7 linked regions of the Danio rerio genome follow. The protein of the gene in region 2 purifies or fractionates together with the protein of the main gene of each other region. This does not show direct contact. Links are inferred from orthologs where the notes say so. Each region holds a gene or a part of one and is shown on either strand. Other genes may lie near its edges.

Region 1 (4,094 bases), on a different chromosome or scaffold from region 2:
ACAATTTTCTTTGTGTTTCAGAGAAACTATTATTATTAATTCAACAGTACACGCTGGGCATTTATTTGTGGCTTATTTTGCCACATTGACTTCCACTATAACTACATTTTTTATTGCAAAGCCATGACATATAATCCATACAATCAAGCATTCTTGGTTGTTGCTGGTTTCCCCTGTTGGGAAAAGGTCAAATTAGTAAATTTGTACTGTTGATGGCATCATGGCATTTCCTAGGCCCAATACTTGTGTTAGATGGGCGCATCACGGCCAAGAACTAACCATTCAGGGGGACTATGTGCACCCAATGATTCAAACATTGTATCCTGAAGGCGATGCCGTTTGTCAAGATGGTAATGCAAAAATACACACAGCAGGATTGGTGATAGAGTGGTTTGATGAACATGAAAGGCAAGTCGAACATCTCCCATGGCCTGCACAGTCACCAGATTTAAATATTATTGAGTCACTTTGGGGTTTTTTGGAGGAGCGAGTTAGGAAATATTTTCTCCAATAGCATAAAGTAGTGACCAGGTCGCTATTCTGCGAAAAGAATGGCTCAAATCCCCTCCAACCACTGTGCAGGACTTGTATCAGTCATTGCCAAAACAAATTGATGCTGTATTGATTCTACGCAGACGAGCGGGCGCTGCCATTTGAATCTTTTTGGCACGAGACTTCCGGTCTCATTCACTTCCATTCATTTTTAGACATTAAAAATTGCTCGTTTCGCTGTTTGATGTTGCAAACTGATATTTCCTTGTTATATTATTCTACTTGGTCTGTATAGTCATGCAAACATTTGTTTGTAGAGCAAGTAGTTTGACCGTTTTTTGCCGTTTATTATTCCTAGTCATTTCTCCCATAGGTGACTGAAACGGAAGTTCTAAGACAATCGCGAAAACAGGCGCACTTCCGCATTTTAGAATAAGGCTGCAAAAGGAGGCCCTTCACAATACTAATGAATTATTGTGGTCTTAAACCAGGAGTTTTAATGTCATTGTCCAACCCCTGTATATATAAAGAAATGAATGTCATATAAATGTCCATGGTGAACATACCTGGTAATATGCAGCATGCTGGAGCTGTTCGGCCCCTCGTTCCACATGCACCTCTGCACTCTCTACATTGGCTTCAATGCTATCTGTGTATCATGACATGACAAAACCAGGGTTCAACAAAACAAAATAACTGTGTGGAAATTTAAATGCCTTTTAAAACAGTTTAGAAATAACTAGACTAACCTACCTATCATGTCACCCTGGTCGTGGATCATAACAGCAAGGTCCTTGAAGATTTGATTCACATCCATAATGTCTGACTAAATCAAGACCAGAAAGCAAATAGCACATAATACTTTAAAATCGGACAACTCCCATAAACACAATAGTCTTAATAATTATGTAAGAAATTAGTAAACTAAAAAAAGTGTTTGAATGCATATGAATCTTCAGGACATTACTTATTCTTATTGTTGTTGTTTAGTGATGTTGGATTTTTGTATGTAAGGTGTGCTCACCTCCAGCTGACGGATATTGGTCTCTCTTTCTTTAATAAGCTCAAGGTCCTCTTCTGTGACAGGCTCCTCTTCTGTCTGCATTCTCCAGCCTTCATTCCTTTTCAAATAAAAATAGCTATGAATATTTCAGCTTTCAGATCTTTTACTATTGTATTAATGCATTTAAAAAATAGATACACATTAAAGGTTCCGTGAAGTGCTTTGAATTGTGCATTTTTCTGAAACATGAAGACTGGGCGGGACATATAGTAGCTCCTTATTAAAAAAAAAAAATAGCCAATAGCGTTTAGTTCTATCACAGCTCTGCCAGTGAGAGTGGTTGAGATCAAGCGCATCAAATCAAAAGCAAATGAGAAGCATCTTGAAGGGAGGCAGGGCATGTAGAGAGCATTTGATTGGTTAAAAGATTTGATGAGGAACTGAAGTATGAGGTAAGGTTAAAAAAAGTTGTTCCAAGTGACAAACTGCAAGCTTTGGATGTTTGTATCTACTACATGCAAACTGTATCACTGTTTTTGAGCACACTAGCTTATAGATAGCATTACCACTAACATACTTATACTAACACCTTTTTTTTTCATTGAATGGGACCTTTAAATCAACTTATTATACATACTGTATCCTGTGTTTTGGATGTCTATTTTGATCAAAATAAAGGCTCATGAGGGTGTTGGATGCCTGGGTTCAGTTTAGGGTCAAATAATGTATGAAGGCTAATTAGAGTTAACATTAAGGGCCCTATCATACACCCGGCGCAGTGTGGCGCAAGACGCGGCGCAGTAGTCTGTTGGTAGTTTTCAGCTTGGCGCAAGAGTCGTTTTGAGGCGTTGCGCTGCGCTGTTTAAATAGCAAATGCATTAGCGCTCATTTTTGCGTCCATATGCGTTCTGGTCTAAAAAGGAAGGCGTTCTGAGGCGGACCGCTGGCGCGTTGCTATTTGAGAAACTATAATAGATTTTTCATTAGACCAAAACTAACCTGTTCTAAACTCCGGTGCAGAGTTGCGCCTCGCTTACGCACTGCTTAATACGCACAAGAGAGCAATAGGCAAATATCTTTACATATGAAAAAATTTAAATATTAAGGATATATATAGTATATAATAAGAATAGATTTAAAATATAAATATAAAGGATTAAAATATTACAAAACATATTATTTTCTAGCCTACATAAATATTCTTTATCTCGGGAGGCTTTTTCAGTTCATTCATAACAATTTGCTTTTGTATAATGTTATTATTATTAGCAGTATTATTTATTATATCCATATTTATATTTGTTTTATTAAAAACAAGCTTAGATTTGCCCACCTGTCAGGTTTTAGACCATATGGGGCACAGCATGTGTTTGAGGATATAACTCAGGTTTTTGAGCACATTTTGCTATTATTATTCATTTATTCGTTTGCTGGAAATTAGAACTGAATTTAGAAATAGTTTTGAAACGAATATTTGCGCTTAACAAACAAAATTATTTATTTATAGACTAATTGATGTCTGTGCGTAAAGGTTTCCCTATCCAAGAGCGACAGTGAAAGTGATCTATTATCTCTCATTCTCATGCAGTAGATGCTCTGTTTAACAGTTTTCGGTTAAAAAACTGTTAACTGTTTACTAGTGAAGTGCTCATTTTTTCCACTTATACTTACTTTGCGTCCTGTAAATAGCAAATGCGCTCTTGGCGCGATGCAGCGGACTCTTAAAGGGAATTGGAGATGAGACTCTAATTGGTTTATTCTCAAAACACACCTATAACTCATTAAGAAAATAAACTCAACCCTTTTAGAACATGCGCAAGGCAGATTTCCCGTCCTTAAATTAGCAAAAACGCGTCCTGACACGCCCTGAAAGCGTTTGCGCCCTGCGTTTTGCGCTCTGCGCATGGACCGTCGAAATAGAGCCCTAAAGGTGGAATATGTAAGTTTGACATCCAGTGGTTCAATTAGGGATTGCACTCCTGGTTCAAAACACATTTTCACTCTGCCCCTGCTCTGATGACCACACGCAAGCGCAGTTTGTGATTTGATGACATCAATAGGAGCGAGTCTGACTACCCTAAAGGCTGATTTAAATCTTGTTTTAAATAAAAGCAACGGCACGTGATAGAAAGAATATTTGCCATATTAAAATGAGTTTTTGTCCTAACAAACCCCTGACAGTTCTATTTTAGAAACAACTTCTACTGTATTTCTCACAGGTGAACAACAGAAAACTGTTAATAATCACCTAAGGTACAAATCATGTGCTTTATTCAGTGTTAAATGCTAACAATGTGAGTTTGAATGCCATTTTACATGCCATTTATTGCTATTCTACTGAAAGCAGCAGCAGATAGTTTACCTCAGATCTTGAAAATAAAATAAACCGTTTGAGATTGAACTTTAGAACTGTGATTCAGTTCAAGTCAACCCATATCAGTGATTCAGCATGTACATTTAATAATGTTACAGAAGTTAAATATTTAGTAATTAGATTGTATACCTAACCAAAATATTGGAGTGCAGTAAGTGCACTATTCTGTGCTTCTGAATGGCTGTATTTTAATTTCCGTTTGTGTTGCGTGTGGTGCAAACAGCC
Region 2 (4,556 bases):
AAATCCAAATCCATACCAAGATTTTTAAATGAAAAGTACATTTTAGTTTTTATCATAGGCTTAGACGTCATAATAAAAATATAACCTGTTCTTTATTTTGACTTAAAACATGAGGCTTTACTGTGGATGCTAAAACATTAGTTGTAAATGTGCTTTCAGTCGGTCAGATCAGCTCACCCTGACTGTCTGCCGTGTGCTAGTGATGAAGGCTTTCCTCTTGGCCAGTTCCATTGCGTCGAGATTGAACTTCTTCGGATTGGCCTCCACAATACTTAAACACAAGGTTAAGGCTACAACCAACATATAAACAGCATCAAGACCAAACAATGACGACTAAGCTAAAAGGATATTGATAGTCTCATCCAAGTCCTCCAAGTCCCATTCAATGGACCTCAAACTGTTTCGTAATTCGTTGGTGGTCCAGTCCACTTCCTCCTTGCTGGCTCCACCCGCGTCCTGTAGCAGCTCTATCCATCTCTGATGAAGACCTTGAGCTGTGTTTACAGCCTTCTGCACCTCTCTAAGACAAATACATTCAATTAAGCCTCAAGGTTAATTGACCTACTACAATGTAGACAAGAATACTACAGAGTGTGCAGATAATTATGAAAATTATAAACATATGATCATAATTGTTTTTTTCCAAAGAGAATTTGACCAGTTCTCAAATACATCGTTCTTAGCCAAATACTAAAATATTTTACTTGTAATTTATTATTAATAAGTGTTATTAGTATTATTATTTAGAATAATTATTATTAAATTGAAAATTAATAGACTGTCTGATGTGTATAATCATTAAGCAGGAAAATAGCCCATAAAAAAGATGCAACTCTCACTAAAAAGTCAAAAATAATGGATGCGATCCTATAAAAAATGTGATAAATTAAAGGTGCTGTGAAGTGCTTTAAAATTAGCATTTTGAATTTGATTTCTTCGTTGTAATCTGAAATAAAATTCATGAAGACAGGGTGGGACATAGAGTAGCCCCTCTCCTTTATAAAAAACATCCAAGAGTGTTTCGTTTTTAATCACAGCTCTGCCAGTGAGAGTGGTTGATCTCAAAAAAGATGCATCAATGGATAAAGCAAATGAAAAGCATCTTGAGGGGGGTGGGTATGTCAGACACTAGAGAGTATTTGATTGGTCAGAATATTTGATGAGAAACTACAATAGATAACCCCCAATAATATAAATCCCCACTTTATAAAAACCAATAGCTGAAGTGTTATACAATACTGATTTCTTTTAAGGACAGCTTATGTATCTGTCTTCCTCCTGCCCTAGTTAGTATTTGTCGTTCAATAGTAATACCTTAATTTTACAGGTTTATTAATGCTGTGATCTTCTTTTGGTCGTTTAATATATATACAAAACGAAGGGCCCAAAAAGGAGGTGTAACATTGGGAAAATATATATATATATATATATATATATATATATATATATATATATATATATATATATATATATATATATATATATATACATACATACATACATACATACATATATATATATATATATATATATATATATATATATATATATATATATATATATATATATATATATATATTTTTTTTTTTTTTTTTCCTCCCCAATGTTACACCTCCTTTTGGTCCCTTCGTTTTGACATGTCAAAATAAACCTGCTTCATAAATATGCACATCTAAATATAATTATCTTACACCCCCAGTGCTTGTTAAAAAATTACACGTAACTTATTAATGATTATACACAATATCAATACTAGGGCTGCACAATATATCGTTTCAGCATCAATATCGCAATGTAGTCATTCGCAATAGTCACATCGCAGGTTGTGCAATGTTGAGTCTGTAGTATAATCTATCATTTTCATGTTTTTTTGGACAGTAGGATTTTAAAACCAGAGGCATAAAAAATTTTACCATTTGTAAGTTAACGTTAGACGTAAAAATGATAAAACACTGTTTATTTATCTTTTTTTATTGTTTGATCTATGCTTGTGGATAGTTTATTATAATTATTGCAGATGCACTTTTCTGCAGAATCATCTGAATCAGATAATTATATCGCAGAATAACTAAATATCGCAATGTTAGATTTTTCCAATATCATACAATCAACACTTAAGAAGTGTGAAATCGGTACAATTAAACAATAATTATGCACGCACTTTATTACAGCGCCTAGACTGCAGTTCTGCACAAGACGTTTGGCCACAGGAGAAACGGTCGTGCTCAACTGAGCCTGGTTTCGCTCAAGTTTTTTTAATTCTTCACTTTCGCCAATTGGTGAAGTTTTTTTCCCTTGCCACTGGCTTGCATGGTTTGGGAGCAGTGGAGCTGCGCATCGATGGATTTGCTTTTCAGTGTTTAAACTCTCAGCAGTAAAAATTAAACCACACTGAACTGAATGGACTGAACTAAACTGAACTTCAACACAAAAATAAGCTGACACTGTTTCAATTTACTATAATCTTCTATGTGAAGCTGCTTTGACACAATCTAGATTGTAAAAGCGCTATAGAAATAAAAGATGAACTGAATTGAAAGGTTTTACTATGATAATGCAATGCTTTTGGATGTCTGACATGGAAAAAACTATGCTATTACGTTACTATCCAAAAGCATACCATAATATGTATCCCCAAAAAGTGACAAACATGGTAACGTTACATATTTGTAAATCCTAACTTATAGCAAAACGCAGATGTCTGGCAACCCAAAACAATACCACTTTAAAGGGAAGACGACACAAATATCGATTAACGCTATGAAGCGTTTGAGAAAAAAATCGATAATTATGGTTGCCATGACAACACGATAACGATCTTACCGAAACAGCTGCTTTAAATGGTGCCGAGTATCAACGTAGGACAAGTCAAATAGCTAATGTACGTAAAGTTTAAAATAATTAACGTTACTCCAATCTGATTCCTGAAAGTGTCTAATTCGACATCTTATATTCGCCCCTAGTCTCCGATCTAAGCCCTGAAACTCACCCTTTCACCACGAAAAACGGATCTTCCATCGACATTTTGCTGCTCAGATGAGTCGATGAGTGGGGTGCGATAATCTCATGCTCCTGACCGCGGCTGGTTTAGCTTTACTTGGACAAAGGAGAGCGCTTTACGTGTTGTTTACATGCGGGACAGAGCCCGGATCCGCTCAGCCGCCATTGCCCGGCGGAATCACATCCGGGTCCTCGAGCGTCTAGACACACGCACGCGCCTGGGCAGATAAACAGCAGCACGGGTTGTTTTGGTTTGTTGAAGTAAAAGAACAAAGCGTTGCCACTAATATGCAAAATGCCTAAATATAAAATATACTTACGAGATATTAGTTTAATTTAGATAATGCTTTAAATATATGTTGGTAGTCAGCATTCTGTCTATTCATCATCCAGGCAATATTATGTAAAGTAGCTTACCATTATTATTATAATAAATCTACTATATGTAAATGTTTACGTAATTGAAAGCTAATTTATAGTTTATGCGTTAAACATATGCTGGTATAGTTGGTGGTTCATTCCACTGTGGTGACCTCTAATAAATAAGGGGACTAAGTCGAAGGAAAATGAATAAAGGAATTTATAACATACTAAAATATTGAACCTACGTCCTCAAAATTAAATTTAACTGAATCATTATACACCGACTTCAAAATGATTACCTTTTGATTTGCCACCAAAATTAACATAAAATAAGAATATTATTATTCACAGAAAATTCACAGTAAATAAAAAATAAAATCCATGTTTTCAGATCTTAGATATTTTGAACTATTGTAAAAGCACACATACATATAGTCCTCCTAACATTTATATATGTGTGTGTAGCCTTTTACGTATGTGTACAATAATTGTATAGTAACATAAAAATGTAACAGGCGACATGGTGGCTCAGTGGTTAGCTCTGTTGCCTCACAGCAAGAAGGTCACTGGTTCGAGTCCCTGCTGGGCCAGTTGACATTTCTGTGTGCAGTTTACATGTTCTCCATGCCGTGTGGGTTTCCTCCGGGTACTCCGGTTTCCCCCACAAGTCCAAAGGCATGCGCTAGGTGAATTTCATAAACTAAATTGTTTGTAGTGTATGTGTGTGAATGTAAGATTGTATGGATGTTTCCCAGTACTGGGTTGCAGCTGGAAATGCATCCGCTGTGTAAAACATATGCTGGAAAAGTTGGTGATTCAGTCGCTGTGGCGACCACAGATTAATAAAGGGACTAAGCCAAAAAGAAAATGAATGAATGTGTGTGAATGAGTGTGTATGGAGGGTTCCCAGTACTGGGTTGCAGCTCTAATGCCAACAGCTGTTCCAAAACATATGCTGGATAAGTTGGTGGTTCATTCCTCTGTGGTGACCACTGATTAATAAAGTGACTAAGCTGAAGAAAAATGAATGAAAATGTATGAATGAATGAGCTACAATCTGATACCATTGTGTGTATTATGGTGCCACCGGTATTTTTTATTTATTATTTATTTAAACATATACTTTATTTAAGTATATTAAACACTTATGTAATAAGTGTGTATTAATATTAATACAATTATACATTTTATTA
Region 3 (4,646 bases), on a different chromosome or scaffold from region 2:
ATGTCAAATCATAACAAAGATAAAATAAATCAGTTATTAGTAAAGAGTTATTAAAACTATTATGATTAGAAATTTGTTGAAAAAATCTTCTCAACAGAAATTGGGGGAAAAATAAACGGGGTCTAATAATTCAGAGGGGCTAATAATTCTGACTTACATATATAATGAATTCTGATATATATATATATATATATATATATATATATATATATATATATATATATATATATGTACATATATATATTCACATATATATATATATGTGTGTGTGTGTGTGTGTGTGTGCGTGCGTGCGTGCGTGCGTGCGTGCGTGCGTGCGTGCGTGCGTGGTGCGTGCGTGCGTGTGTGTGTGTACATACTTTATATAGGCTAATTTCTTATAATTAAAAATATATATATTTATACCAAATAGTGTAGATGACACTACACCTTACTTATCAGCAAAACAATAATTTAATTTATATTTGTATAAAATGATTAGGTATATATAAATATTCGATGGTATGTGTTTGATTAAAGGTTTAATATTTGGTTTATTCTACAAAAGGTTTGTGATTAGCATGTTTAAATTTTCAAATAAAAATATTAAAATTTAGACCAATGGTGTCTTAATTTTTTCCATAGCTGTTAAATGTAGTTTAATTATCTGTGTTTGTGTGTGCGTGTGTGTTTGTTTGAGAGAGAAAATTTTGAAATTGAATACACCTTCATTTAATAAAAAATTAAACTACAACATGTTTCATTGATTTAAACAAATTTCTAAATCACACAATATTTTCATCAAAAACCATACATTATTTTCAGCCCAACACAACATTTTTTACACTCCACATGTCTTCAAACTTGTTCAACTCTTTCATTGACAAATAAAAATTAAAATCATGTCTAATTCTTGCTCTAATAAGCCTTTTAAAAATAAGTTCAACTTTATAAATGGTCTCACACAAAATCTTGTTCCTCCTATACTAATGTATATTGCCATTTTTGCTAGTCTTAATATAAGAATAGAGAGAAAAAGAGAGAGAAATAGAGATCTTATTATCATCATTAGATTATTAGATCATTATTTTTTATTATCATCTTTATTATTATTATTATTATTATTATTATTATTATTATTATTATTATTTTACTACTACTACTACTGTTTACTGTGTTTAGTGTGTTTTTAAACTATTTATTATGTATGTTCTTTTAATGTAAACTTTAGTGCTTTGACAATACATTTGTAGGCGGTTCATTCCACTGTGGCGACCCCTGATTAATGAAGTACAAAGCCGAAAAGAAAATGAATGAATATATTTGTAACATGTCATGCCAATAAAGCAGTTTTTGAATTGAACTGAATTGAGAGAGTTTTACAATGACTGTATATTTTTATTATAACCTATGAAATTACTTATATGATGGGGAAAACTTTCACTGTGTGTGTGCGTGAGCTATATTCTACGTGCACGCGCGCGCTGACGCTCACTCGCTTACACAGTAATAACAGTTGTATCATCATCAGCGGGCCTTCACAAATCACACATCAACTCAACAACCATGTAAGTAAAATTAAAATTGCACTAGCTCAGCGATGTGATATGAACATGTGATGATATATGTTTTGCTTTTGTTTTTTTTTTAATACCTAAATATTGATGTGCTGGGAAAGTTTGTGTTGTGTTCTAATGGGTGTGAATACGGCCAAAGCAACAGGTTAGCTTTTAGCTTAGCTTTAGCTTCAGTTTGTTGACAATTTGTTTACTTTAATTTACTTTCGGTCTTGTTTTCGGTTGCTTTTATTTGGGATAGTTGATTATGACACCGTAAGTGAAGTTTAATGTCCGTTTGAGTGTTTAAAAGAGATTTGTGTTTATGTTCGCATTAGCGCTAACTTACATGCTAACTGCTTACAGTTTGTTTTGACTGATAAAAGTTTGTGGAAACTTTAGACATTAAGCATACACAAACCACAGACATATCACCATTATAATAACATATTTGTTTTGTTTTAAGTGTACAATTATTTTAATTTTGAGTGAGTTAAAAGGATGTAGTTTGTATTTGGCAAAGCTGCGGCAAATTAATCAACAAACAAGTTATAACTTACAAGCTTCACAAATGATTGTTCTTCAATCAGTTTTGTTAATCCAGTGGTGGGCAAACTTTTTAGACCAGAGGGCCACTTCACGTTTTGCAAACCAAGTAAAGGGCCACATGCCAAATCCTTCAAAACATATCTTTTATTTATAGTGGCAGTATGCTTAGAACATGTAATATCGGACAGAAACATGTCAGATTAACACAAAACAGATTTTTAAAATAATTATTATCGAGTCAAATTGACAAGTAAAATGAATTTGCTCTGCTATTTATATTTATCAATTATCATAAAACAATAAAATAATCTCTAATAGAATGTAATACTGATAATGATGTAATAATTTTGCAGCGAAGAATAGAAAAGATATTGTCTGATAGACAAAATCCCATATTAACACATTAAAAATAATTCTTAAAGTTTGCTATTTAGTCAAATTTACAATAATCTAATTTGCACTTCTTTTAGAAAATACAGATCAATCATCTTAAAACTTGATAAAACCACAAATCTTTGACAAAAGAACTTTTTAAAGTGGATGTATGGATGGAAAATATACTCTGTGTAAAAAAATTAACACATTTAACCAGCAACCATTATATATTTTGAGTCAAATTCACAACAATCTCATTTGAGCTTGTATTAATATGCTCATATCAATCATTATAAAACTATGAGATAAAACGGAAGAAGAATCTTAGGCCCCGTTTACACTAGTGCGTTTTAGTTTGAAAACGCATAAGTTTTGCTACGGTTACGCCATCCGTCCACACTACGCCGGAGTTCTCGAGCGCCGAAAACAGAGCTTTTTGAAAATGCTGGAGAGGCCGTTTTCATTCTAAAATGCTGCTGCTCCGTCTCAGTGTGGATGGGGAAAGACGGAGACATCTGAAAACGGAGGCGGGGCTGGAAACGTTTGCCTATCTGATTGGGGCTTTTCCTCAATATTAAGTAGCCCACACACAGTTCAGTCTCGCATCCTCTTCTTGTAAGTTCAGACTTCGCAAGTTTGATCAAGGCTGCAGTCTCCCCTTTCTCAGTTTGATATGGAAAACATACCGAGGACACGCGTAAATCTTCAAAGGGAACAGTGTACTTTATAACTTCATTCACATCACCTTGGCTACGTTGTTTCACTTTCTCAACAATAAAATATAAACATGATTTAAGGAACTGCCTATTTTCTTTTTAATATTAGCAACTTAACAGACAGCAGAAATGTTGAGGCGTTGTGTTGCATATATGAGCGTCATCTTCACTGTGTGGATATTTATAACAAAACGGAGCCTTATAACAACTGCCTCCTTTCAATTTCAGTGAAAATACGAAACGCACCCTCTCTTTTGCTGAATATCAGTTTTAATAATCGATAATTATAAAAGTATAACATACAATAAGTTTATACATTGTAGGAAATAAAGGCAAGCGATCAGTCAATGTACCTGGATTAATCATTAACTTATCTTTGCGCTTAACCAAAACATGTTACCCGTGAACAAGTAAGTTAATAGATTCCAATGACCAAAGTCAGGGAATTGGCCTATGTCGTTAGATAAAGACAACAACATGAATGAAATATCACGTTTAGCAAATATAGTGAGATTAGATCCAGCGGGAGATGCTTGATGAGCAGTCCGACAAGCAGAGCTCTCATCTGGGTAGAAATGCTGGAGCGCTTGCCCAAGTGTGTCTGTGTGGTCACGTGATGTGCGTTTTCAGCGTTTTGGTGTGGACGGAGAGCAGTTCAGAAACGCTGGGTAAAACGCTAGTGTGGATGCGGATCGTTTTCATTCTACAACGCCGTTTTAAAACTAAAACGCACTAGTGTAAACGGGGCCTTAGTCTTTGTTATTCCAAGTCATGTCATTATGAGTGTTAACGTGAACAATGAGCCTGAAAATAACGTTACATTAATATTAACTGCAACACTCTCGCAAAATACCCAGCTGATCCAGTCTTTGACTAGCAACATAAAAAAAGCGCAGTGTGCTCCTTTTTTCTTGTCAACAAAAAGGCAGTGCAGAGCATCCTTGTGTTTTTGGAATGTAAATGCGCGTTCAGTGTGATCGGCCTCTTAGGTTGTAGCCCTTAAAAACAGCAATATTTTTTTTGGCATATTAGACCTACAGCTTTCTGTCCCGTATTGGTGAAGAAGTATTTTGTTGTCCATTCTTTCATAAACACACGACATTCAAAGTAAAAATTTTTCCCTGACTCCTTTTCAGTCATAAAAGGTCGAGTGCATTGTAATATCCGAGAGTGTGTTCTAATTCTAGTTGCACTAACTGTACTGCATGCAATACTGCCATCAAATGGTATTCACTTGTATTGCATCATTAATTTACTAATTCTGAAATTAAACCGTTACTCAGAAGCAGCATTTTAAAAACTCCCTGGCGGGCGCATGAAAGTGTTCAGCGAGCTGCATATGGCCCGCGGGCCGTAGTTTGTCCACCTCTGTGTTTATCAATTGCTCAGTGCATTTTTTAAAATATACTATAAACAATAACTTTATTCACATATTAAAATTTAAGAGATAGTTCACCCTAGAAGAACATTT
Region 4 (3,036 bases), on a different chromosome or scaffold from region 2:
GTGAGGGTATACTGTAGCTGAATACACAACACCTTAACGTTTTCCTGCATTTTTTTGTTGAACATAATAACGTGCACCTTTTGAAAACTCCTTTGGAACAAAAGTTATTGTGAAAATCACTACGCAAATACATTGAATTGAATTGTAATGAATGATTGTAATGCTACACCCTTAGAAGAATTTATTTAAAGGGTGTACGACCTGACACTGCACACCTAAGTTTACTGTTTTATTGTTCATATCTCTCAGCATTAGTATTAATGACAATGCCATTCATTTCAGTATAAAGTTTAATAAATAAACGGTCTAATGTCATTTAAATTGTCATTATTTTGTTTATGTTTTTGATTGATTTGAAAGAGTCATCCGTTAAATCATCCGTTTTGCCCAATTTGTAATCCAAACAATGTATCATATCACCTACCTATGACTGTGGAATGTGATTATGGATTAAAATTAAAAAACAGGTCGATCACCTGCTCACACCTCAAATCAAATCCCAAACATACCACTGTGAAATAACTCTACTCAAATGTCTGCTGTTTTGCTCTTAAGAGAACTAGAAATAAACATCATCAGTCAGCAGGCAAAACGTCAGTATGTCAAAGTGGCTTGACGGCCCTCGATGCTAGTCTTTAATATATAACAGGTGTTTGTGTCACTTTAATATCAGTCATGTTTACAGTAACATCTGTCCCCCTTATCTGACAGGCCAAACACACCCCTTTTCTCCACCAATCAGGGCTCACAAATAAAATGACTAGCTTGTTTATAGCTGTCAATCTCTTGGCCTGAGGTAAACTCAGCTCTGTTTGGCTGATTGGTGGAAAAACAAAAGGAAAACAAACACCCATTTCAAGAACAAAAACAAAGAGATGATACCTTTAATGCCACCTCAAAAACAAAACTAATTTAACACACAATTTACTTAAAAGTTCAGTTTTAAAGGGATGATTCACTCCAAAATATTTTACATACACGCAACTCCAAAGATTTAAGACTTTCTTCAATCTATTTTGGTCAATATATTACAATAGAAAATAGTCAGAAGAATGTTTTTAGCAGTGCAATGAAGTTCAGTGCCATCCAAAAGTTTCACAGTATAGAAAACATGTCTTGGATTGACACAAAAAGTCAATAAATTACTACAGAATTACATCATTTTGGAGTGAACTATCCTCTAAAGTGATTGAGCACTGTAAAAGAGATGTATATAATATACTGTATATGTTCTTTTTCCACTCATTCCACTGGATGCTTCATTTACACCATTCAACCATCCACCAGATCACCTTGGCATCTTTTTTAAACCGCTGAGGGTGAAGTAACACAATTTCTCCTGTTAACACAAGTCCTCCAGAAGTCAATGTACAATGGTGAATGTCTTCATCTCACCCTGAGAGCGGTGCTTATGCTTATAAAGTTTAGCACTAAAAATAACCTCTCATACAAGTCCATGTGACACTAACAGTCACGAAAGCATCCAGCACATTGTTGCCAGGTCAGAAACTCATGAAAATCAGGAAGAAGAAAAGGGAGAGAGTCTTGTGTATCTCACTGCCTACTTGCGAAAGAACTTCAAGTACACCACACCCCCTAAGATGGCCACCTCCATGATGATGATGATGGAGAGGAGCAGTTTGTTCGTCACGATCCTGAAATGACAGGAAAGAATTCATACAGTGAATTCTCAGAAAAAGGATTTGGAAACAACTCTAGTGATGCAAAATGTGTTTCATAAGAGTGCAAGGCTTACCGTCTGGACATTGCGCGCAGGATCTTCCTGCTCCGGCTCAGGTTCTCTCCAGTGTTAACCAACTGATAGTGGAGCAAGAGAAGAGACAGAGAGAAAGAGAGAGGAAGTGAACCCATAGAAAACATTTGTCTGTTTTTTTTTTTTGGCTATTTTTAAGCTACGTTTACATTAGCACTTTAAAACGCACAAATTTTTATTACAATTATCAATATTATACTACTTTGGAAAGGCTAGAGATCCCATCACAACTAAAAAGGTCAAGCTCTTTTCAGCTATACTAGAACCTGCCAGGCAGGTGTGTTAAAGTAAGTTGGAGCTAAACTACGCAGGATACCGGCCCTCCAGGTCTGAGTTTTGGCACCCCTAGTGTAAATGAACCAAAACAGACATTGAAGAGAAAAAAAAGAGCCTGGCTGCCCATATTTGCTTTCTGATTGGTCGTCTGTGTTATTGCATATCCTTTCCTGACTCGTCAAGCCTTTTTCATATGCTCAATTTAAACGGCCATTGGTACATTCACTGCTAGTCACACCATGCTGACAAATAATGATGTTTTATCTGGTTTCCAAACAAAAATTCACAGTGTAACCTTAGATTGCTACAATATGTTTATAACAGATCCATTTCTGTTATGAATAGGGTTAACTATCATAGGATTTGACTTACTTACTTTTGACTAACTTAATTGCAACTTCTTTCTGTCAACATTAGTATTTTTTTAATAACAAATAACAATTTTTATTTGATCTAATATTTGTATATAGGCTACACTTTAGTAATTCTATAGCTTTTATAGCTTCTGACATGTATATACTTTACGAAATGCAGGGGAATTGTCAATATGGAACATTTAAATTGAGAACATTGTGTTAAAACTAAAATGCACTAGTGTGAACACAGCCTTACTCTATCTCTGGTGCGGTCCAGCTGCTCTCTTTGCTCTCCGAGCTCCTCAATGATGTCTGTGCCAATCTGGTCGGTCTCTGCCGCAATCCGCTGGCTTCGCTCAATACTTTTTGACGCATTATTTAGAGACTCTGTCCCCTGGATTAGCAAAGCACGCTGTGACTGAAGATGAGTCTGCAAAAACAAACACAGAAATTAGTAATTGTTTAACTAGGATATGCTGCATAGTCGGTTATAATGCCAGTGTTGAAACATTTATAACTACAATTAATAAGCTGATTAAGATGAAATATAGACATTACTACATTGTTAAGACAGACCTGCTGTTAGAGGCCATAAAATGAATTATGTATTTCAAAGTAATATTTAAAATG
Region 5 (4,094 bases), on a different chromosome or scaffold from region 2:
ATTTTTTGCTATTTCTGTCGAGAGTTTTGTAAAAAAAGAATCTGAGGATTTGTAAGGAAAAATTTTGGGAATATCGTAACTAAAAACTTAATATATGAAACTTTACAATGTGAATCCAATTAGATCCACTTATTTGGTAAACAAAGCAAGTGTCTATTATAATATATATCTACTAAAAGACAGAAAATATGACTTTACAAACTGCATAGTAAATAAATCATATGAACATTTTCATATTAGTCAATCATATAACAGAAATTAATAAAAAAAAACTGAATTAATATAAGTTTACACAGAATTACAAGTAAATAAAAAGACTGGTGGGCTTAGATGAAAAAGATGATGGGCTTAAAATCTGCGGATTACTGTGCACACAGATTCTGTGCGGGCTTACTTTTAACTCTACTTTTATAATTTTTTTTGTCTGCAGGGTTTTGTATTTATAAGTATATTTTTATCTATTTGATATCCTTCTTGCCTCGTTCTACAGCACAGTGGTCAACTATTGTTGTGTTTATTTGTGCTTTATATGCAAATTAATGAAATATCAAATTCCAGCCTACTCTGCCATATCAATTTATCTGACCCGCGAGAGCTTATGATTCACACCAACTGCAAATTTATACTATGATTACAGTTGAACTACTGAAGTTGAACATGGAATGTTTGATAATGGTTTTTAGAAAATGAGCACCATCACAAAAAAGACCCAAGTCACTTTCCAAAACATTTTTAATCAACGTTTCATGTTGGTGGAATGATCTTCCCATTCCCACTTGAACTGCTGATTTTCTATTAGATGAGGATGTGTAATAAATAACAGAATTTATATTTTTGGGTGAACTAACCCTTTAAGGTGACTCATCTTAATAATTAATGAGGAATTAAAAATCCGCTGTAACAGTCCAAAAATAAGCACTAACAAACTGTACATGTGGAGTCCAGCTGCAGATTTTGATGTGGCAGGGTAAAAACAATGAGTCCTAATAGTAGTTAAATGCCACCAAACAGAGACATATTGTAGTTTATTATAGGTCTTGAACTGCCTGCTTAGACAGGAAGTCACCACCTGACCAACAAGTACAACAAGTGTTTATTTTTAGGTAACATTATACACTAGGAAATAAAGTGATGCAAGATTTATACTTATTCTGGTTTTTTTTTTTTTTTTTTTTACTGTAATTTTGTCCTTCTACTGATCATCTTTGGCATGAAATCCTTAATCTGCAAAACTGGAGTAGATTCCGGATTACATTCTTAATGCTATTTTATAATTTAACAATTTAAGGTTAAAGTGACAGTTAAAGGCTTAACTAGGTTAATTAAGTTAACTAGACAGGTTAGGGTAATTAGGCTAATTAGTTAGGGTAATTAGTTATTGTATAATGATGGCTTGTTCTGTAGACTATCGAAAAAATATATAGTTTAAAAGGGCTAATAGTTTTGATCTTTAAATGGTTTTTAAATAATTAAAAACTCCTTTTATTCAAGCTGAAATAAAACAAATAAGATTAGATATTATTAGACATACTGTAAAAATTTTGCTCTGTTAAACATTATTTGGGAAACATTTAAAAGGGGGGGGGTCTGATAATTCTATAATTCTGACTTTGTGTGTGTGTGTGTGTGTGTGTGTGTGTGTGTGTGTGTGTGTATATATAAATATATATATATATATATATATATATGTTCAGTGACTTTACACGCTGGATTAAATGTGAATTTGTTAATACAAAGTTTAAAAAAGTAGAAGTTAATTTCTTGTCAAATGCAGTAAAATAATGTTTAACAACATTTCAACAGTAAATCTACACTGATGCGCTGACTTGCAACAAGATGGAAACTTATTCAAATTATGGCACAGCTCCATAAAAAGTATTAACAGTAGCAGGACTGAAGCCAGGAGAAGGACATAAGCCCAACACATGGCTGCTGTATACTGGCTTTTAATGGCTTCTCTCACATGCTGATACTGCAGAACTCTTGCCTTTGTGACATTACTCAACTGCATTATATCAATATATTAGCATTATAAATTTTTTTTCTCCAGAATTAATACAAGACGGTTGGTTTCTCTGAGTCTTTTCCTAAACTAATTCGAACTAAACTTGAATTTGTGTGGTTAAAAATGTATTTCCAATGTATAAACAGAAGGATTACAGCCAAAAAAAAGTGGATTTAGACATCAATCACAATGTTAAATTTCCTCCTGATAGTAAAGATCTTGCATGTCCTATCTGGAATCCTGCATGACTGACTCAATCCAATTGAATTTTTAAAGGAAATGCATGTTTTGTTAACATTGAGATTTATATTGTGGAATTAGTTGAGCACTGAATCCGTTCTAACTAACTACAATTAATTTTTTACGTCTATATTATATCATACAGATAAATAAAACAATCAAGCAAACAAGCAAACAAACACAATGACACAAACATATCTGCAAATTAATGTTTATACTTTCATAACTATTAATTATAGGGTCATTCTGAATTAATTGTAACAGGATTCATCGCATTATACTGCTATAACAACAAATATGATATCACATTTATCAATGTCCATCCTTCTCAGTGTATTTTTTCCTCACCTCTTGATGTAGGGGCCAGAGGCACCCGATGATCCACCCGAAACAGCCTGTCCATTACGAACAGCAGTCGGTTGGCTGGATACAACACCACCCTCTTTTCCCTCTGTGCTGGAGTTGTCGCTCCCGGTGCCCCAAGTCCGCTTATATCTCCCATCATGCTCAATGGAGGTCACTCTGTAAAAGATTTTTAATACTCTTCTTTACCCCAGCCTAGACATCTAATTAAAATAGTTTTGAGGATTCAATTATAACTGAATATAATGAATATCTTGTTTCCTGAGTATCGAACCTTTCACACGGGCACACACACAGACCACAGCATTTGGATAGATCTGTGAGGTTCTTCTCAGCCTGCCTCATGTCCTGATTGATCTGATCCATTCCTTGATCAACTCGCCTCAGTTGCTCTAATGAAACGCAAAAAAAATATAAATATAAACTAAATAAAAAATAAATACTTATTATTATATAAAAATATTATATATTTATTATATAAAAAATAATACTATACAGCTTGTCCTAAATGTAGATGTAACAGATTACAACAACTGAGACGAAAACTTAAGAGATGCCTTGAAAATGATGCTTCTCTGCATTTATTAGGCATGGGTTTGAGTAAAATGTTAACTATTTTTTGTTTTTATAAGCTTCATTTGCCATTTCCTATGAATTTCAAATAAAAACATTGTCATTCAGAAAAATTTTTCAACAAAATGAACATTTGTTCTAAATTGTTGAGACTGAATTTGATGGTTATTCCACGGAATTTTGCTTTCATGGCTCTTCTGAAGCTAAAGCACTAATATGGCATGTTTAAAATAAATAGAAACATGGCATCTTTTTATAAATTTATGCAAAAGTTATAAAAAATATGTTTATCTAATCTGGACATTCATTTACAGCGTATTATGTTGCATACTAGGCATGGGACGATAACCGTATTCAGGGTTTACCGCGGTTTGGAAAAGTCAAGGTTTTAAAACCGCCAAAATTTTCAGCTATACCATTCCTAAGGTATGTGTAAGATTCGTTTTGTTTTTTAGGACAACAGTATCTCCAGCAGAAAAGATATCCAAAAATGACAATTTAAATGGTAAAGAAAAATGTGTTTTTGAAACAAAATAAGACAGAAAAGTCAGTGACTCGTTTGAGTTATTCAGCCCGACATGTTTACTGCTCCAAAATATTATAAAGGTTTCTCAAAATAAATTATGTTGTGTTCAAAAGGGAAAAAACATGTTTTTCTATCCCGACATTTAAAAAGAATATGTTTTAGAACAGTAATCATAATACTGTTATACCGTGAAACTGTGATATTTTTATCCAAGGTTATCCCATGTCCCATTCCTATTGCATGCATCGACAAAGAACCTTTTCAGCCCTGGTAGACATATCTATTAAATCCAGAGAATTTTCAGTTGGTCTTTTAATTTCTTTATACAGAGCTGTATGTAGGCAAGATTGTGGTTTGGACAGAGTTGGGTGTAAGGCGTTCCACAGT
Region 6 (4,803 bases), on a different chromosome or scaffold from region 2:
AACCAGTCAAAATTAGGAGTTTTTCTTTAAGACAAAACTAAAACTAGCAAAAATATCTGCCAATGGGGCAAGTAAAATAATTTTAAGTTCACTTTAAAATGTAGATATTTAACTAAGGCATGGTGAGGCAGTGGCGCAGTAGGTAGTGCTGTTGCCTCACAGCAAGAAGGTTGCTGGGTCGCTGGTTCAAACCTCGGCTCAGTTGGCATTTCTGTGTGGAGTTTGCATGTTCTCCCTGCCTTCGCGTGGGTTTCCTCCGGGTGCACCCGGTTTCCCCCACAGTCCAAAGACATGTGGTACAGGTGAATTGGTTAGGCTAAATTGTCCGTAGTGTATGAGTGTATGTGGATGTTTCCCAGAGATGGGTTGCGGCTGGAAAGGTATCCGCTGCGTAAAAACTTGCTGGATAAGTTGGCAGTTCATTCCGCTGTGGCGACCCCGGATTAATAAAGGGACTAAGCCGACAAGAAAATGAATGAATGAATGACTAAGGCATGGGCCAATATAAGATTTTGACAGTATGATAACCTTGGATAAAAATATCATGGTTTCATGGTATCACGGTATTGTGATTACTGGTCTAAAATGTATATTTTTTAATGTCTAGGTATAAAAAAGGAAAGTTTTTCCTCTTTAAACACAATATATTTTATTTTGAGAAACATTTAAAATATCTTAAAACAGTAAACATGTCAGACTAAATAAATTACTGACTTCTGCTGTCTTCATTTGTTTTAAAAACAGATTTTTTTTTTTTTTTTTTTACAATTTAAAACAGCATCTTTGGATATTTGTTCTGCTGGAGATACTGCTCTCCTAAAAAAAATAAAAAAATAAATAAATAAATAAAAACATAAATGAAAAATTTTACTCATACCTTAAGAACAATATTGCAAAAAATTGTGATGGTTTTAAAACTTTGACTTTTCTAAACCACGGTATACCTTGAAAACAGATATCGTCCAATGCCTAACTTACTACTAGAACTAGAAACAAGACAAAAAGTCCAAGTCAAATGTTACATAAATCGTATTAATATTTAAATACAACTAATCTGTTACACCTCCAAACATCCTGTTTTTGTGCTGAAATATTTCAAACTCTCCTGAATTACACAGTTACAGGCCTTAAAACACATGTAATCAATAAACTTTGTTATGGTTTAACTCATGAGAGACAACAAATCACATGTGTTCTGTGGCTCGTGGTCAAGTATGATTCAACATTGTGACTATTGCGGAAGCGCACATTGCAATATCAATGCAGAAACTATATTTTGTGCAGCCTTAATAGCATCAGTTTAGTTTAAAAGAATCACTGCTCAACACATACAGTAACACAACACCAGAAACCATTAAAGCACTGCAATAAAGATACAATCATAGACTGTTTGGTTACTTAAATCAAATTGACTTTTTTTTTTTCATTGAGACCGTAAATTGGAATGACAAAAATAGGTCTAAATGACTTTCATTTTGTGATTTAAATCTTTTAAAATCTGTTTATTAATTATAATACTATAATAATTTAATAAAAAACTATGTGCAATAGTCAAGTGGATGGATGGATGGATGGATTAACGGATTAATTGATGAATGGATGAACTGACTGACGGATGGATGGATGGATGGATGGATGGATGGATGGATGGATGGATGGATGGATGGACGGACGGATGAATGGATGGATGGACTGATTGACTGATGAATAGATGGGACTCTGGACTACAAAACCAGTTATACGTGTCATTTTTAAAACTGAAATGTATACATCATCTGTAAGTTATGTAAATAGGCTTTTCCATTGATATATAGTTTGCTAGAATAGAGCAATATTTGCAAAGGTATGTGTGAATATCTGGAATCTGAAGAGTTAAAATAATAATGGAAAACTTTAAAACTGCTCAAATTAAGTTCTTCGATGCACATTATTACTTTTGATATAGGACATATACAAAATATTGTCATGGAACATGAGTTTATGAAATAAATATTTTTAACTCTGAACCAGACAAAAAAAAAATTTACTTTAACAACATAATACTGGTTTTCTCATCCAGGGTCGCAAATGCATCAATGGAATGGACAATCGTGTGGACTGGAAATGTTAACAAGGGAAACTGAAAGCAGAAATCTGTCCCTGCTGTTGTCAATACAAACCACCAGATCCACAATGAGCATGCTGACAGCAAACTGTTTACAGACATAACAAGTGACCCCACTGATTAAAACCTCCACATGCTTCATGTTGTCACGGAACAGCTCATAAACAAAACCAACAGGTTAGGCATCATTCCAGCATTTTCTTCATCGCTGCCACTAAATGATTTATATGAAAAGCACAGGTCAGCGAACAGCTAAAAGAAACACTGAGATCCCTCAAACATGATGGGGCTTACATAATTCAGGAAATTAGATAGCCTTGATTTTCTGTTTAAATAATAACTCAGTCTAAACTAATGACAATCACAAAATCACTGAGTAGAATAAAGAGAAGAACTAAACTGAAACGGATAGATTCAACATTCAGTGAACAATACGAGACTGGAACAAAACGGTTCATTCATTTGTCAAAACAGTACAGTGTAGATCTGGATTCAATGCCTATTTGGCTTTCAGAATGCTCACAATTTGCATTAAGAAACAGACAACTCCTAAACATACTCATTTTAGAGCAATAACAAATCAGTACATTACCGCTAATATCTAAATAAATTTAAAACAGGGCTAACTTAATCTTCCTGGCATGCATCTGCTACACAGAGCTTTATGCTAGTCAACCATGTAAACACTATGCTAATCGGAGATCGAAGCAAACGATAAGACGTGGTTTTATGGAAAAACGAAAAAGCGTGAAATTGAATAATCGTGTTTGCATGTCGATTAACGTTAGTGGAGGAATGGAAACACTGAATTGAAAACAGATGGCATGACAGCTAGCATGACGGCTAACACCTCTGTCATCACTGACCGCTACACAAACACATCCATGCAGGCCTCGAGAGCTGTTACTCCGGCTGGTGTACCTCAGAGATCCTGCTTTTGTCGATTAGTGTCTGGAGAAACCGCGTCGGTGTGTTTGTAATCCTGCTGATCTGTGTGTGATGGGATGCTGGGACGAGTCCTGAATGCTGTCTCTCGTTCGGCTCTGGAGCGGAAGCTAGAACAGCTGGACTAATTGTGTTTCCTGCAGACGCATCATCATCATTACCGTCATCACCACTAACATCATCATCTTTTGATAAAATACTACAACATCATCTTTCGAGGTAGTGTGATGTAACCTATACCTGGAAGAGAGTGATAAGTCATTGTTCATGTTTGCCAACAAACCAAAGTCTGTTAAATATTGTTTGCAGTTTTTTTTGACATTAGCAATGATTAACATTAGCAATGATTTTCTGTATTAAGGATTGTAACATATTGATACCTGTTGTTTTTGTGACAAACAAAATCAGTGACCTGTTTAAACAACGGTGCTACAACTAAATACAATTTTATAATATAAGCTCTTGAATGGTAAAAGTACAGTATATGTTAGAATTTCTGATTAAAATAATTCATTCATTCATTCATTTTCTTTTCGGCTCAGTTCGTTTATTAATCTGGAGTCGCCACAGCGGAATGAACTGCCAACCTCTCCAGCATTTGTTTTACACAGCGGATGCCCTTCCAGCGAGAGGGTGCTCACTGCAGAGCCATTTGAGGAGAGCTGAGCTCCAGCGAGGGGGAGCATGAGCTGTCGCTCCTCCTCCTGTAAGCTGTTTTAATGCGTACACCAACCCCACCCCTAACCCTACCCCCAGTGACATCACTCGTAGAAGAAGTGCAAAAAAGGTGGAGCTCAAGCTTAAGCTCCCCCTCGCTGGAGCTCAGCTCTCCTCAAATGCCTCTGCAGCGAACACCACTTGCTTCCAGCTGCAGTCCATCTCTGGGAAACATCCATACACACTCATTCACACACACACTCATACACTACGGACGATTTAGCCTACCCAATTAAACTGAACTGCATGTCTTTGAATTTGTGGGGGAAACCGGAGCACCCGGAGGAAACCCACACGAAAGCAGGAAGAACATGCAAACTCCACACAGAAATGCCAACTGACCCAGCCGAGGCTCGAACCAGGGACCTTCTTGCTGTGAGGCGACAGCACTACCTACTGCACCACTGCGTCGCCTGAAAAGATTTATAACTAGTTTAATTGTTATAATATGTTTTTTTTTCTATTCTATTCATTATTACAATATAGAGAATTATTATTATGTCTTTAGTATCGTCACTGATTGTTTTAGTAATATGGTTATATGATTTCTTGCAGAAGATATAACACTGACAACAAAAGTAAAGGCTGCTAACTGCTAAGTAAGTAAGCTGCTAAGTAAAACGCTTGGCAACATGTTTTGACGTGATTGATCATCATGAAACCAGTTCGAATCCAGCATCTGATGAACTTGTTCTTCTACAACTTTATGCTTAAAATGCTTTAAAAATAAGTTAAATCTTTGTAAACTAGAAAATTATGTACTATATCATTTATTTATAACATGCGGGCAATACATTACAGATTCATTTTATTTAAAAAATATTACAATAATCTTATTTTAAATTAAACTATAGTGGCCTGGTAGGGGTCCTACAAGACATTGTGCCCAGGGGCCTCTGAATTCTTAATTCGGGCCAGGTCAGGAGGGACAGTCCACGGTAGTACCAGAGGGACAGTCCAGGGAAAGTTCAGCGGGTCAGGGACCCCGGCAGGGGGCCAGTGTGAACCTGAAGGACCATCCAGGGAGGAACAAACCA
Region 7 (4,790 bases), on a different chromosome or scaffold from region 2:
ACCTAAAATAAAATGTTTCATGTTTACATTTTTCCAAATAAATTCTCTCCATGAATCTGAATTACCTGTGATCATCTGTGTTTCAAAATAGTTAACCATTCCTTATTTGTTACAAGCATGTTCTTTTTAAAGTAAAGTTTATGAATGCTTTGGCAATACATTTCTTACAATTGTCATGCAAATAACACAATTATTGAATTTAATTGATTTGAATTGACAGAGAGAGAGAGAGAGAGAGAGAGAAAAAGAAAACTGCGTTATGCCAGAAGGCCAAATTATTTAGAAAAGAAAAAAGTACAGAAAACAGATTGTTAGTGCTAGAAGTAGATCAACCTCTATAGACAGTATTAGAACAAATAAAAGTGTATTTGAAGAAGAAAGTCAGAGCTAGGAAGTTTTATTTAAAAAGGATAAGATAGACATTTTTCCCAGAGATGGGTTGTGGCTGGAAGGGCATCCACTGTGTAAAAATGTGCTGGATAAGTTGGCGGTTCATTCCGCTGTGGCGACCCCAGATTAATAAAGGGACTAAGCTGACAAGAAAATTAATAAATGAAAGAAGATAGACATTAGATTAGAAAGTGTACGAAGGTCAACGGTATTACATAGAGTGCATTTTTAAGTACAAACATTAATGTTCAACATTGTCCATTATTGGTCAAGAGATATCGGAGCTTAGTACTACATTGGTTTACTAGAGAATTATATCAACTACTTTACAAATGTATTTATTTTTAATATACTGTATAATCTTAAATGTGCAGCACACAATTTGAATTTGGTTTAATAATTAATTTGATAATAATTTATTTGATCATTTGGTTTTTAGATGTTGAGCATGGAAAGATCCAATATATCCAACATGATGTGTACAGTATGTGTGCAACACTGCGATATATTTACACATGTAAAAGGCATGCAATAACATCAACATTCTTCTTCAAAAGTATTTACTGCTTTACTTAAAGTATTGTAAATTTGAAGTATTTTAGAGAAATGAAAAGTATTTTATGACATTGCATTAATAGGATTGGATGAATGCCAATTTTAACATTCTGAAATATAATTCAAATACAACAAACTGAATTTGTGTGACTCAATTGCATTTGACAGAATATTTAATCCAAATAAAAACAACTCCAAGACATCATACAGTATAATTCGCCTGTAGTGTAGATGTGGCACCTTATGTGTGATACTCGCAAAACCAAACAAGAAAGCCTAACCACATTCACACATTAAAGCACCAATAAAATACTGCTACACTTAAACATAGAACAAGTCTCATGGAAGCAATCTTTAGCCGTTAATTGTGCAATTTGTGTCTTAAGAGTAAACTCTCTGTGCTTTTTACACGTTCAGCCATTTTAAACACATTTAAGCTCTCCTGTTCGGCAGATACCTCATAAACAAAAGGAGTTACCAGGAAACCAAAAGCATTGTTGCGTCACTACCTGTCCTGCCCTTCTATTATACTCAATGGCTCTCTCTTTGTGTGTGTGTGTGTGTTGGTGTCACAAGACCTACAGGATGGCAGAAAGCTATTAGGTAACATCTGATACTGGCAGTTCGAGGTACCAATATTGTGGCAAAATAGTGTGATGTGTGCGATCCACTTTATAATGTGACAGAAACAACATGATAATTAAAAAGAATATAATTTGGTATTATGTGAACCGCAAGTATGTTTTGTTGAAACTGTTTTTTTTAATTAAAACTTAAATGTATCAAAGATATATAATGGGATAAACAATCATCTTCAATGAAAAGTTCACCCAAAAAAGAACATTTACTCACTATTTAGTCACCCTCAATTAGTTCCAAACCTTTGAGTGTCTTCTGTTGAAAGAAAGCCAAAAACATGTAACCACTGAATTCAATAGAAGGAAAAACAAATACTATGCAAGTCAATGGTTACAGGTTTCCAGCTTTTTTCAAAATACATATCTGTGTGTTTTATGTAAGAAAGAAAAATCAAACAGGTTTGCAACAAGGGTAAGTAATTTTCCATTTCTTAAACTTGAGTTTCTTTAATATTTGTATTAAACAACGACATGCTTGCTTCCTTCAAGGACCAGCATTCAAATGACAAATTGAATATATTATTTATTTAAAACACTACAGACAAACTTTATCTTAACCACAATGCCACATACATCGAAGTAACGTTAGTCTCTACACTGTGAGTGGAACTTGTGAAATGATTTTAAAACCAAGTGTTGACAGTTGACCAACCTGATCTGAAGCAAACGAGCAGGAGGACCTAACACTTCTGGTTCAGTTTAACAGTCAAAGAGATGTGTTATGTTATCAGCACATTTGCAAGCTGAAGTTATTGTGAATATATTTCTAAACTGAGGGCCCATTCAGTAAGAGTGGAGCTCAACAGTATCATGCAAACCGGTTATGCTTCGAAGCTCAAGGTAAATTCAATCCATCTGAGTAAACAAATCAGTACAAGAAAATTCCAATATAAACGGTACTAATCTCAAGTATAAATGTGTTATTTAAACATTACATTTGTATAAGATAACCAAGCAAATTATCTACATTTGCTGACAACAGGAACGTAGAAACTTAAGTAAAACTTGAAAAACAAGCTTCGCCCTGTTTGGAGTGCGTCAAACTAACACCAACCGGTGAAAAACAAGACACGCACACACACTGACTTGTTCTAATGTTTGCACCACTAAAAGTAACATTCGCACAGATATCAAGAGAAATTAAGTTCGCACAGTTTTGTTAACTATAAACTTAAAAACGATGCAACAAAAAGCACCTGCTGACTGTTGTTAAAATTAGTGACTTACCGTACTGTTTGGATCAGTTACACCCATAGTTTCACCAGCTTCTTTTTATTTACTCCACAATATAAAAAATACACGTTATCCTTTAGAATTAAAATGTTTGCAACTGTTTTCTAGTGTAACCGATAGATGTACGCCGTGTCAACACTTCCTGGTCTCTAATTCACTCTTCCTCCAGCAGCGAATGACTTGGCTTTGGCCCACCTCTGATGCGACACTTCCCATAGCATCCTCAAGATGGCGCCGGGTTCATCTCACAAACACACCTGTAAGGTGAGTGCAAATACTATAATCATGCCATCTAGACGTCTTCCCGGCAGGTATGAGAAGCGTCTTGTAAAACCGGATTAGAGTGAGTTTTCTAAAAGTACTGATGTGTGATTAAACTCAGTGGTATTTATAGAAGTTTATAATTTCAAGCATGATGAAAACTGCTTAAAAACAAAGTTAAAATAGTTCAATTCCTATGCATGAAACACAATACGTCTTCAACAACTCCACCTAAACGCCTTTGGCATTGCATGCATTTAAAGCATTATTCTATTTAAAAAAAAATCATACTAGACACAAAACCAAGCATAAATGTGACAACACGTTTTATTTTTGAAAATGGTATGTACAATACACATCTAAAAGAAACCTCAAAGTTAAGAAATTATGTTTTACAATTTAAATAATGCAATAAAAAAACAGTGACACTGAAAACAGCACATTAATATTTTTACTTTTTACTGAAGCTGCTAAAGTTATCAAAACGCTTGATTTTAAAAGCAAACATTATTCAAACTGCACCATGTTGAGTTTTTTCCTCTTGGTGAATGCTTCTGACATCTTTCACTTTCACTTGTGTGTGTGTATATATATATATATATCAATAAAAAAGTCTGTGGTTTGGTATTTCCCTGTACAACATTATCATAATCCTGACACCACCGTCATCATCCTCCTCCTCCTCCTCCTCCTCTTGGCTATACTGTTTTGTCCCGACATTTGTATTTTTACATGCCATGGAGAACAAAAGAAAGCGGATTTACATTTTGATACAAATGACAATTTGTGCATAAAAGATTTGTGTCAGATTTTCAGTGGCCTTGTTTAATGATGATATCAGTCATGCCATCAATTTTGTGCAGCTCCAAGTTCTGTTGATGGAAAGAACCACTTTTAGATTCACAGCAATTAAATACACAAACAATAGGTTTCTACATGCAGGTTACAAAAACAAGTTTAAACAAGACAGCATGCTAACAGTAAATCAACACTGAATATTTATTAGATCTTCGTCTATAGTAAGCGTTGAACTATTTTAAAGTACTCACTTTCTCATTAGCCAAGTGCAGAAGGGCCACGAAAGCCAAGGGTACTGACAGATTAGTAGCCATGGCAGAGGGAAGCCTACAAAAAAAAAAAATGTACAGTGAATGGATAAACAAAATTGAAATATTTAGATCACTTTTTCCCCTTAATGAACAGGAACAGTGAGAATAAGGGATGGAAATATTACACATTGCAATTTGTTTTATTCTGCAATATATATGATATAAATACAATTTCATAAGATGAGTTGAATTAATATTTGTAAAGAATCTATCATTTTAAATAGGGAAGATTCTATCAGGGAGTGCATAAAATATAATATAATAAGTTTGAGCACAATAAGTCTTATATAATAAGCATAATATTTATATTATTGAGCACAATATTTGTATAATAAACAATCTGCAAGCATAGATAAATTAAAGATATGCCAATTAAATTTACAGTTTTGTTGTTTTCCGAAGAGTCAAAGTGTATTCAAGTATACAGTAATTAAATAATCAAATGTAAAATAAAACTGCATAGTCTTCATTTTATTAACAATTCCATAAAATTAATCGTTATTCATTTTTTAAAGTTAAAAACAGTATATTTTCTTATGCCTGAATGCTTTTAAAACTTTTACACAGTGACAGGCCTCAAAAAACACTTGCAAAATTTACAATA

Evidence for each region.
Region 1: the proteins of stx6 (region 2) and stx12l purify together in Homo sapiens (affinity purification with mass spectrometry; 4 studies listed by BioGRID and IntAct, counting the BioPlex papers as one, with this or other methods). This does not show direct contact. The link is inferred for Danio rerio from reciprocal best matches to the Homo sapiens genes STX6 and STX12.
Region 3: the proteins of stx6 (region 2) and vamp3 purify together in Homo sapiens (affinity purification with mass spectrometry; 5 studies listed by BioGRID and IntAct, counting the BioPlex papers as one, with this or other methods). This does not show direct contact. The link is inferred for Danio rerio from reciprocal best matches to the Homo sapiens genes STX6 and VAMP3.
Region 4: the proteins of stx6 (region 2) and vti1b purify together in Homo sapiens (affinity purification with mass spectrometry; 3 studies listed by BioGRID and IntAct, counting the BioPlex papers as one, with this or other methods). This does not show direct contact. The link is inferred for Danio rerio from reciprocal best matches to the Homo sapiens genes STX6 and VTI1B.
Region 5: the proteins of stx6 (region 2) and snap23.1 purify together in Homo sapiens (affinity purification with mass spectrometry; 3 studies listed by BioGRID and IntAct, with this or other methods). This does not show direct contact. The link is inferred for Danio rerio from reciprocal best matches to the Homo sapiens genes STX6 and SNAP23.
Region 6: the proteins of stx6 (region 2) and vamp4 purify together in Homo sapiens (co-immunoprecipitation; 5 studies listed by BioGRID and IntAct, counting the BioPlex papers as one, with this or other methods). This does not show direct contact. The link is inferred for Danio rerio from reciprocal best matches to the Homo sapiens genes STX6 and VAMP4.
Region 7: the proteins of stx6 (region 2) and vamp8 purify together in Homo sapiens (affinity purification with mass spectrometry; 3 studies listed by BioGRID and IntAct, counting the BioPlex papers as one, with this or other methods). This does not show direct contact. The link is inferred for Danio rerio from reciprocal best matches to the Homo sapiens genes STX6 and VAMP8.

Annotation. Positions count from the first base shown.
Region 1 is NC_133191.1:7,966,838-7,970,931, reverse strand, and holds part of stx12l (syntaxin-12), read right to left. Parts: intron 1,614-4,094; coding exon 1,517-1,613; intron 1,319-1,516; coding exon 1,246-1,318; intron 1,142-1,245; coding exon 1,059-1,141; intron 1-1,058. UniProt on the Homo sapiens protein: SNARE promoting fusion of transport vesicles with target membranes. Together with SNARE STX6, promotes movement of vesicles from endosomes to the cell membrane, and may therefore function in the endocytic recycling pathway.
Region 2 is NC_133197.1:16,195,775-16,200,330, forward strand, and holds the start of stx6 (syntaxin-6), read right to left. Parts: upstream 3,172-4,556; 5' UTR 3,025-3,171; coding exon 2,990-3,024; intron 521-2,989; coding exon 351-520; intron 273-350; coding exon 178-272; intron 1-177. UniProt on the Homo sapiens protein: SNARE promoting movement of transport vesicles to target membranes. Targets endosomes to the trans-Golgi network, and may therefore function in retrograde trafficking.
Region 3 is NC_133186.1:42,677,820-42,682,465, forward strand, and holds the start of vamp3 (vesicle-associated membrane protein 3), read left to right. Parts: upstream 1-1,421; 5' UTR 1,422-1,545; coding exon 1,546-1,547; intron 1,548-4,646. UniProt on the Homo sapiens protein: SNARE involved in vesicular transport from the late endosomes to the trans-Golgi network.
Region 4 is NC_133188.1:36,479,203-36,482,238, forward strand, and holds the end of vti1b (vesicle transport through interaction with t-SNAREs homolog 1B), read right to left. Parts: intron 2,837-3,036; coding exon 2,663-2,836; intron 1,819-2,662; coding exon 1,757-1,818; intron 1,656-1,756; coding exon 1,562-1,655; 3' UTR 599-1,561; downstream 1-598. UniProt on the Homo sapiens protein: V-SNARE that mediates vesicle transport pathways through interactions with t-SNAREs on the target membrane. These interactions are proposed to mediate aspects of the specificity of vesicle trafficking and to promote fusion of the lipid bilayers.
Region 5 is NC_133192.1:35,127,680-35,131,773, reverse strand, and holds part of snap23.1 (synaptosome associated protein 23.1), read right to left. Parts: intron 3,001-4,094; coding exon 2,883-3,000; intron 2,768-2,882; coding exon 2,594-2,767; intron 1-2,593. UniProt on the Homo sapiens protein: Essential component of the high affinity receptor for the general membrane fusion machinery and an important regulator of transport vesicle docking and fusion.
Region 6 is NC_133195.1:16,221,993-16,226,795, reverse strand, and holds the start of vamp4 (vesicle-associated membrane protein 4), read right to left. Parts: upstream 3,150-4,803; 5' UTR 3,026-3,149; intron 1-3,025. UniProt on the Homo sapiens protein: Involved in the pathway that functions to remove an inhibitor (probably synaptotagmin-4) of calcium-triggered exocytosis during the maturation of secretory granules.
Region 7 is NC_133180.1:28,877,704-28,882,493, reverse strand, and holds the start of vamp8 (vesicle-associated membrane protein 8), read right to left. Parts: upstream 2,921-4,790; 5' UTR 2,838-2,920; coding exon 2,811-2,837; intron 1-2,810. UniProt on the Homo sapiens protein: SNAREs, soluble N-ethylmaleimide-sensitive factor-attachment protein receptors, are essential proteins for fusion of cellular membranes.